Linked DNA regions of Danio rerio. The protein of the gene in region 2 interacts with the protein of the main gene of each other region in a pairwise test. Links are inferred from orthologs where the notes say so. Each region holds a gene or a part of one and is shown on either strand. Other genes may lie near its edges.

What was found.
Region 1: the proteins of lemd3 (region 2) and smad9 interact in binary tests that used the Homo sapiens proteins (3 or more experiments, as listed by UniProt). The link is inferred for Danio rerio from reciprocal best matches to the Homo sapiens genes LEMD3 and SMAD9.

Annotation. Positions count from the first base shown.
Region 1 is NC_133185.1:39,993,103-39,998,649, forward strand, and holds the start of smad9 (mothers against decapentaplegic homolog 9), read right to left. Parts: upstream 3,330-5,547; 5' UTR 2,992-3,329; intron 1-2,991. UniProt on the Homo sapiens protein: Transcriptional modulator activated by BMP (bone morphogenetic proteins) type 1 receptor kinase. SMAD9 is a receptor-regulated SMAD (R-SMAD).
Region 2 is NC_133179.1:13,501,604-13,507,037, forward strand, and holds the start of lemd3 (inner nuclear membrane protein Man1), read right to left. Parts: upstream 3,836-5,434; 5' UTR 3,829-3,835; coding exon 2,535-3,828; intron 1-2,534.

The DNA.
Region 1 (5,547 bases), on a different chromosome or scaffold from region 2:
CTGTGTGGAGTTTGCATGTTCTCCCTGCCTTCGCGTGGGTTTCCTCCGGGTGCTCCGGTTTCCCCCACAGTCCAAAGACATGCGGTAGAGGTGAATTGGGTAGGCTAAAATGTCCATAGTGTATGAGTGTGTGTGTGAATGTGTGTGTGGATGTTTCCCAGAGATGGGTTGCGGCTGGAAGGGCATCCGCTGCGTAAAAACTTGTTGGATAAGTTGGCTGTTCATTCCGTTGTGGCGACCCTGGATTAATAAAGGGACTAAGCCGACAAGAAAATGAATGAATATATATATATATATATATTCATTCATTTTCTTGTGTGTGTGTATATATATATATATATATATATATATATATATATATATATATATATATACATATATATATATATATATATATTTATATACATATATATATATATATATATATATATATACATATATATATATATATATATATATATATATATATATACATATATACATATATACATATATACATATATACATATATATATATATATATATATATATATATATACATATATATAAATATATATACATATACATACATACATACATACATACATACATACATACATACATATATATATATACATACATATATACATATATGTATATATATATATATATAATTAAAAATGTTAATTTTAAAAATATAAATTGGTGATTATATTTTTCAAATATTAATAAGAACATAAATTTATACAAACTGAAATAGAAATAAATAGAAGAATCTTAAGTCTTTTAATTGAAATAATTGTTGTTATTATTATATCATTTTAGAGATTAATAAATATCATGATAAATAATTTTAAATATAAAATTAACTAAATTATTATTTTTAAATAAAATATTTTAAGTAAATGCAGTTTGCATTTGAGTAAATGTATTTTTTTAAATATAATTAAAATAATATTTTATTTATTTTAACAGAATTTCAAATAACAATTATGTCTTTAGTAAATCATAAATTTATATATTTAACATAAACAAAAAATAATGTTTTACTATCATGAAAAAATGACAAAGAACTTTTTAAAAACTGAGCAAAATAAATGTATTATATTTATACATTATATGCATAACAAACATAATAATATATTATAATATAATAAAGGTAAAATTATATTTTATTAGGTAAATATGGTGTACATTTTTGAAAGATTCACTCTTTAGAGTAGGGGTGCCAAAACTTTTTCTTATGAGGGGCCAAAAACCAAACTTGACCAAGGGCTGTGGGCCGAAAGTAAATATACCAAACTGTTACATTAAATATTGCATGAGTGCTATTCTAATGTATTACTAGTATTTGAAAATAACCACAAAATATTGCTTTAAATTATATGAACTAATGCAGTATGTAGTAAACAATCCCATACCACAACGGAGTTCAATGTTGAATACATAAGCTGCACCTGCTTTTGCTTTGATTTGCTCGCCGATGTCTTGTGTATTGCCCTCTATCAGTTAAGCATCAGTATTTACATTTTTAAAGATCAGGTTCATATGCAAAACAAAACTAACAAAAGGTTACATTATATTCGAAATGACAATTTCTGTCAACCCCAACCACCTCCCCATCATTCTCCCTCACGTCTCAAATGGGACAAATCAAAGGTAATGGTATGGGCCAACTTTGACCTGCGGGCCCTAGATTGCACATCTCTGATATAGAGCACAACTAAACAAAAACAGCATTTATTTCCTCAGTGCAGACCTCTGAATAACTGCTGAGTTATTGTTGTCATCAACAGGTCTAAACAGTGTTTCTCATCATTGCCCATCTCACCTCTCCCTTTCCTGAACAAGCTTTTCTGATGCCGAAAACGATCTGCCAAAAATCAATGTCGTTTGAGCACTTGAAACCAGAGATGCTCGAGTCCATCTTTAACCCGAGCAGGCAAATAATACCTTCTGAAAACATTACTGCATGTGATACCAGAGGTGTTTACGCCCCTATAGCCGAATCAAATAATCATATGTGACCCTGGACCACAAAACCAGTCTGATGTTGCACGAGTATACTTGTAGGTGGGAATAGTAAAAACTTTACATTTTTATTTTATGCCAAAAATCAAATGACTATCAAGTACAGATCATGTTCCATGAAGACATTTTGTAAATATCCTACTGTAAATATATCACAACTTGTTTTTTGTTTAGGAATGTGCACAGCTGATTGATTTACATCCAATTTTGTGAACATTTATGAAGTTTAAACCCTCAGATTCAACATTTCCAAATTGCTGTTTCTCTGCTAAATATTGTTCTCTTAACAACCCATACATTAATGAAAATGTATTTATGCAGTTTTCATGTTATGTATAAATCTTAATTTCCAAAAACTGACCATTGACTGTTTTTGTGTTCCTTGCGGTCACCTGTATACGACTCATATCAGTGTATAAAAACACACTTGAGTTTTAACCACGGCTCAGGCAGATCATTGTAGGGTGAACAGCCCACATCTGCTGTTCTCAAAGGCAGTGTGTCCTTATGAAACTGGCGTCTGGAAGTCTGAGTGCTGAGATAGGCTTAATCACCTAAACTCCCCCGCAAACGCGCTTACACATCCTTTCCATCCACTGACCGGTGTTTTTTTTTTTTTCCTTTAAGAAAGGTTCAAATGTAATAGTTGGCAACACTAATCCAGGTGTACACAACTGTCACGAGTCTTTAGAGTGGATGAGCATCATTAAACAGAGAGGCATAATAAACAAACAAACAAAACAAAACATACAATTTACGTTTACGCTGCCTCCCGGTGCAATGACTTAAAATAAGTTAAGTAACGTCCGTTGTACTTCAAATAAGTAACGTTAAGTAACTTTATAAAATATCTTATAAATTATATCTAAACGAGTTTAAAGTAGGCTACATGTGTTTTGTCATCTTATCAAACTCTGGCATTTAAGTTTTAAGTACAAAACAACATTAATAGTGGTACATAAAACGCGTTTTATCCCTTACCTCAGCGTGCCGGGTCGAATAATAGCTCCGCGCCGCCGAGCGCTGGGTCCCGCGCCGACTGGAGGTGTTCAGCGGGCGCGTGTGTTTGGATGCAGCGGCGTCAGTCTGACTGGAGCCTCAGCGCCTGCGTGCTGGATTCATCCGCTGCTCCTGGATCTCTCCCAGGACGGCAGACAGACACACACACAAACACTGGGATCATCCCATTCAAAAGAGTAGCTCCTCTCAGAGAAACACAGGTCACACACTGTGGGCAGCGGTGTTTCACTTTTAATTTGATTTAAGGCGCGGACAGATGTTGTCCCTGTCACAGGAAGTGATGCGCCTTTTGGAAAAAGCTGCAAAGTGAAAGTGGTTAGATTTTCACGACATTGTTAGATTATACGTTCAAATGAAATATTCTTTGAAATTGAACACAATAGTGTTTGTTATTATTATTTTGTCTAAACTTACTTATGTGGTTGAAAACGCTCCAGCAGCGAAATGTTGGTAAGGTAACACAACTACATTTTGTGGCTGGATACTGGGGAGCGTATGGGGTGGGTGGAATACGTCCCAATCACTCAGCCAGTCCATTTAGAAACAGGTGATTAATAAATATGAACGTAAACTTTTAGATCTCATTCAGCTGTCCCCCACTTTTAAAATGTCCTCTAAACCTAGGTTTGAACTATTGAAATAATAAACAGAAAAACAACGAGACTAATTATTTGATTACATTTTAAAAGTAATAGTTCACCATAAAAAGTAAAAACTATTCACTATTTACTGTTTTTCTAAACTTTTGGCATTTTTTGGTCATACGCAAAAAAAAGATACTTTGAAGAATGTTGAAAACCTGTAACCATTGATTCCCATAGTAGGAAAAACAAATATGCTATGGAAATCAATGACTACAACATTCTGTGAAATATTTATTTTTCTTTTCAACAGAAGAAACTCAATCTAGTTTGGAACAAGTTGATGAATAAAGTGATCTTTTTTATTTTTTAGAGTGAACAATTCCTTTAAGACATCAACAAACTAACAAAACTGCACGCATGTTGTTAATTTTAATTAATTTAACGCTTAATATGGTACAAGAAAAAGTCGTTTTATTGTTATAACTTTACTTTTTTTACAGAACGTTATCTGGTTCCATTGTGATATTTTAGCACATATATAGCGCTTATTTAGTTTTATACACACACACACACACACACACACACACACACACACACACACACACACACACACACACACACACACACACACACACACACACACACACACACATATATATATATATATATATATATATATATATATATATATATATATATATATATATATATATATATATATATTAACACTCCCACATTTTTCAAATAGTTTCTTCTGTGGAACACGAAAGATATTTTGAAGAAAACAGCCATCGACGTCCGAAATGATCTTTTTTGGGGGCGACCTAACTTACCCCTTTAAAATACAAACGCAAAACTACTACGATCAATTTTTCAAATGACTTTGTCATGTTTGTTATTTATTAGACAAAAGGTCATAAATAGTGTGACGTTTAGTCAGTGAATCATCGGAGGAGGATGCTGAAGCGGAACAACATTAATCACGTGAGCGGCTTCCCACTAAAATTTTAGTAGTAAACTTCTGAGTTGTTTGTGAGCTTTTTGAAAACCTAAAGTGAAAATACTGTCTGACAGAATGAGAAGCTGTCTGAGCACTATATATTCTCGTATTCCTATATATTGTCAAAATTAGTATTTGTTTTGGATTCCATTGAGAGGCTCAAGCCTTATTAACTTATTAATAGGGAGCATCGACCTGTTTCAACATGGAACTGTGAAGCCTAATATTAAAATAGTTACATTCAATTAATCTCATAAATAGTTTAAAACAGCTATTTAGTGAAAATATATCTGTTGTATGCTTGCAGACTTTCGTGTAAATCATAAATTCGCATTGTTAACGCAAAACAGACGGGTTGCCAGATTGGCGGAGCGCCAAGCTGTTTATCGATAGCCCTATTTTTCCTCGCCCTCCTCTGCGCGGATGGATACACTTCGATTGTGTGCGTACAGTGACTTGTCCAGTTAATGACGCAAGCCAGGATGGCGACAGAGAGTCTAGAAGTTTGACATTTTCACAGTTTACAACAACTGCAGGGGAACGTAACAATACTCCCAATAATGACAGCTCGCATATTTAGAGCTCTCTTTGATCAAATAAGTCTGGCAGGGGGGAATCTGCCTTCAATAAAAGCACACCGCAAAACGATCCTGTTCAATCAAGGTGCACACAGGATTATGTACATTACTGACGAGGCTTTACGTTTACTGGGGACAATACAATACTTCAAAAGCAGCTTTTATCTTTTAATCTAAAAAAAATAAATGTCCCATGTGAAATATTGTAACATAACCTCTTTTGGAGTGCCTGACAGGAACAAATGCCTTCCTGGTGGAGAGAAAGGGAGGACAAACAGGATGGTCTCCCCAGGGTGCAGAGCAGACCATTGAGTAAACCACATTAAAATCCCCTGAATACATGCCAGACAGGGCG
Region 2 (5,434 bases):
TTCATGGCAAGAACATTTCAATAATAAATCTACAATTAAAAATCAGTAAACATTGAATACATAAATTAAATAAGATTTTTAGCACTATTTTATGATTTTTTGGTGTCACTTAGCTAAAAATTAAAGTTCATTTCATTTAAAAAAAATAATAAAAAGTCTTCTGGAAGCATTAAAAGCAGGACAGTGCAGTAAAATGTGTTTTACTGTAGAAGGAATTGTGCAGTACAAACATTAGGTAGGCTCTTTACCTTTGATTAAAAATTATTATTCTTGTGTGTCAAATATGACATCTGGTAAATAATCACTTGATCAAATCTAGTCTTAAAATTCTGTTTAAGATTTCAGATGGTATTTCATACAATGTATTATTTTTCAATGCATCCCACTCCTACTGCCACTTGTTGAAAATGTAAACGTTGATAAAAAGTCTCATCTCTCCAGGAGGAATTTTTTAATTTCTATTTGCTTTTAATAAAATAAAACATCATATTTGAACCCCCAATATTCAGAATCAGATTAAAGTTGAGAATACTACCATATTGTAAAAAGTGGCATATCTAAACAACACACAATGATAAATGTTTTAATTTAAGCAGTATTGTCACATTACAGCAGCCAATATGCGAAATTAAGTTATAATTGCAAAACATATATATTTTTCTCGGTGTGTTAAAATACCTTACATCCGCTAAATAAAATAATCAGGATGTTAAAAATAGCTGACAGTGACTCAAACTGGACATACTGGAAGATCAAGTTATTTGCATTACATTATTGACATCATGGTTGCAAAAAAATGAATGCTGCACATGTGTTGTGCACAATAAAGCTGCAAACTACAACCCATGGAAAGTGCAAACTCATATATAATCGCTCTCAAAGTGAGAATCAGACATTCATCCGGCCAGAGAGAAGTCAGTCACTCTAGTTGGCCGCGAGCTCCCAGAGTCCCCAGAGACAGACAATTAGGCCGCTTTAGCTTGTCTGTGACCTAGATGTCTGCAGCGCGATCTCCAGTCAAAGCTCCCTCCCTGAGCGAGCAGCCATGCCACAGATATACATAGTAATTCATCAGTCGGCTTCCTCTCAAGAGCCGTCACTGCCTCCAGAGCACTTTACTCTGATGGTACTCAAGCTATTAAAACTGAGTGCCACTGAACGCACATCCAAGAACAGTTTCTCTCATCTGGGAAAATGTATCAAAAGATTAATGCTGGCTATCATATTATGACCAGAAAGGATGCCAACATGTCCAAACGTGGGGACTGGCCATGATTATACTCAAATAACAGACATCCAGAGGGTCCTCAGACTTTTCAGGAATTCATTTATGACCTTTCAAACACCCATTCAAATATTTTACTTTTAAATTCATTTTTTTTTTTTTTTTGGAAAAACGTCAGTCCAATTAATAATTGATTGATTTTTAAAATAAGAATTTAAGAAGATGTTATATTTATCCAATTAAATATTCAGATCATAATAAAAACACATTCATTTAGCACAATCTCGAACCAAACCAGAGGATAGATTAATAGAAATTTATAGAGAAGGCTCTGTTTTATCACAAAAAAATATATATTATTTTGAAAGATAAATTATTTGACTGATTTATCACAGATTTGATTAGCTATCTGAAATCCCAGGTCTGACATAACATTTAGCACTGCTGTGCACACACATACTTCAAATGCAAATACCTCTCCCTGTCCCATAAAACACCGGTAACATAGACCATTTCCTGTCTGAGAAGGTGCAAATAGTCTGGGGTGATGGGTGATGGCTGTGTGGATTGGGCAAACTTGAGTCAGAGCTGAAAAACTTTTAGTAACTAAAGCTTTTAGCACCATTTCACAAAATACATCGGTTTACACGACAATATGCCTTTTACCATATTTAGCAGATACTAAACAAGTGCACACAGAAATCTAAAGGAAGTCATGAAATGTCTTGTTGCTCCTAATATAAAAAAGAAACAACATTAGTGATCTACACTTGATGAAAACATATCCGTGCGTGAGGTATTCTCCATTTAAATTATGGTCACATTTGAGGGCTCAAACTATTTTTTATCATCACAGAATAATACTACCATAGTATTCTTTTAAGTACAATAAAGAATTCAGTACATTACAGCTTATATCATAATAATGTCAAAACAGAATGGTATTACAGATTACTACATTAATTGCACCACTGTATTCCCATTTTTCATTCTTGTTTTTTTTTTTTTTTTTGTATGAAGCATCCACGCATGTTACTACAATAGAATTGTATAGTTGTGTGTGGAATAGAATAATATACTTATTCCTTGATTAAACTATGAGATAATTCATGATATAATTCCTATTATTTATGTGTATACCATCCAATAGCACAGCACATCATTAATTTACCCTGCCAAGTTTAAGTTTAGAGACAGCCCCATGACTTTGAAACTAAATGTGTCATTATGTAAATTTTTTTACCTGACTTTACCGCTCTAAATATTTCTTGTTGACAAGTTTTGATGTACATGCCAACATCATACTTACTGACTGCATCACCCACGGCGGTGCCGGAGCCCCTCATCCTCAGGTACATGAGGCCCAGCAGCACGAAGAACAGGCAGGCGGCTGTCAGGAGGAACATGGACAAGTAGTGGGCACTGAAGCCGCCGGTGGAGGACACCTCCTCCCGCTTAAACTGCTGCAGGAGCTCGTCCTCCGGGACCGTGGTGTGCTGCTTGGACTTGTGAGCTGAAGCATGGCTATAGGAGTGATTGGAACCGGTGTGGTTCGAGTGGTTCGCTCGGTAAGTCGCGGTGTAGGAAGGAAAGCGTGGTCTGAGACCGATGCTGAACCGGCTGCTGCAGGCGGATTCGCCGTCTCCATTGTCGAGGTGATTCCTATGGAAAGAACCAGACGGGATGCTGCTCCCACCGCTGTTGTCATCCCTGCCCGTTCCGGACAGTTTCGGGTAGCTGCGGCTCACGTAGCTTCCGCTAAACTCGCTAGGTTCCTTGTCATCCTCGTCCCTCCGTTCCCCGACCATATCTAGGTTGTAGTCTGGTGTATCATGCGCGCCCAGCGCCGTCTTATCCGAGCTCCAGGCGCTCCGGTAAGGGGAAGAAGAGGCGGGTGGACTGTGTCTGGAAGTCAGACGGCGTTCGCGCGGACGGTCTCGTTCACCCACCTCTTCCTCCTCCTCGTCGGAATCAGAGTAATCCCTGGCTAACTTACTACTGTTCGACTCGTAAAAAGCCTTATTCCCATTCACAGCCCGACTGTCTCTTTCCGTTTCCGCTAAATCACCCGATTTCCCCCGGTCTGCCCACCACGGAGAGCCAGAAACGCTTTTCCTGTCCGCGGATAGCCCGAGGGAGACGGCGGCAGCGGGTGTTCCCGCAGGCCTGATGGTGGGTGTCTGCTGTGCGGATCCCCGGTCTCTCCTGCTGCCGCCGTGATTCGGGCCTCCTTTTTTCTGCGGAGCCTCTACGTCCGACTCGTCCGAGCTAAAGCCCAGCACGAACTTTCCGGCTTTGCGCTTTTCGCTCCGGCTGGCGCTCAGGCGCGTGACGTCACTGGTCGGTGGCCTGGCGCTGAATCCCGGAGCTCGCGCCGCCGAGCTGCTGTTGCTGCTAGCGCCGCTGCCGTTGTTGTTGATAGTTCCGCTGCTGCTGCGCCCTTTCCCGCTCCGGGAGCCCCGCAGTTGTGGCTGCTCTTCCCGCAGCTTTTTCAGTTTTTTCAAGTACACGGGCCGCGTGCTCTCCGTCACCGGGCCCGGGGTGAAGCCGAGCCGTTTCAATTCAGACACAAGCTCCTCATCCGTTAACTGTGCAGACGCCATCTTTGCACGAAAAACGCACACAGCGAGACACGGCGGAAGTGACGTAAAAGTAAGCGGACAGACGGCCAACTTGAAAGGAAAGAAACAGGAAACCCTTTTTTGTGATTAAATGACCAACATTAAACAACACAACAAAACACAATCAAGAAATATGGAGGAAAACAAGTCACAAAAAATAACAACACAATAAAAAAAAGTTTCACCCCACACACGTCTGTTTCCACAAAGGAGTTATAATTTGATAAATGGTCAAATGTTTTAATTGGTTTTGTATAAATAATAATAATAGGCCTAATTATTATAATAATAGTAATAATACATATGACGATTATTATTATTATTTTCCTTTAATGGCTGTTTCTGTTATTGTTCCTAATTATTAACAACAACAATAACTGGGAATTATAATATAATATTATATTATTAATAAATATAATTATAAATAATAATAATAATGAAAGAAAAGCAACAGCAAAAATACTATCTGTTGTTATTTCTAACAATAAAAAATGTAAATATATAAACAAGTACAATCAAGTCTGTCAAGGTTCACTGAATATTTACAGCATTAAAATGATGTTATATATTATTTTAAAAAGAAGGATATATAGTTTATCTCCCTATTCAAACGTGCATGGTGTCAAATAAAGCAGAAACAAAAACATACATATAAAGACTAGAAATTATCTATCTATCTATCTATCTATCTATCTATCTATCTATCTATCTATCTATCTATCTATCTATCTATCTATCTATCTATCTATCTATCTATCTATCTATCTATCTATCTATCTATCTGTCTGTCTGTCTGTCTGTCTGTCTGTCTGTCTGTCTGTCTGTCTGTCTGTCTGTCTGTCTGTCTGTCTGTCAATCAATCTGTCAGTCCATCAACAATACCACCCCTAGATCCGCCCAATGCCCGGAGAAAACCACACTGGGAGAACATGCTAACTAAAATACAGAAATGCCAACTCAAAAACACAACAAAAAACAAAAGTAAAACAAAAACAAACAGAAGGGATAAATACATTACACATTAAAGAAAAAGAAATTTGTAAATTTGTATAATTTACAAATTTCAGTTGTTTTTAAAGCCTTTTTTGTAAAAGAGTTAGAAACAGTTCAGTAAGCAAAATATAAAACAATGTTTTTGGTTTGAAAATTTACATTTATGTATATAACATTTTGTTAATAAGATAAGAAGATTAAGAAAATATATGTTCTTTTTATGTATAGCTTCTGTTTTATAGTTAACAAAACCAAACCAAACATTTTTCCATAGTAAGGAAAAGTCTTTATCAACATTCTCAATTACAAAAAGAGAAAAATCTTTCCAAAGCAAATTATAATAACTGTATTGCCAAATTTAGTGAACTAGGGACTCAGGGTGTTGCTTACAAAACAAACAATTAGTATCAAATGCCATCAAATAGTGACAGCACTACTTACTGCGCCACCACGTCGCCCCTAAATGTAAAAATGTTCCTTCAATTATATGATGGATTATTTTCACTATTGATGATGGCATTGTATTGGTTCATATTGGGTTATATTCTGCACCTTTGTCTGTGGGTAAATGGGTCTTTCGAACCATTTGAACTCC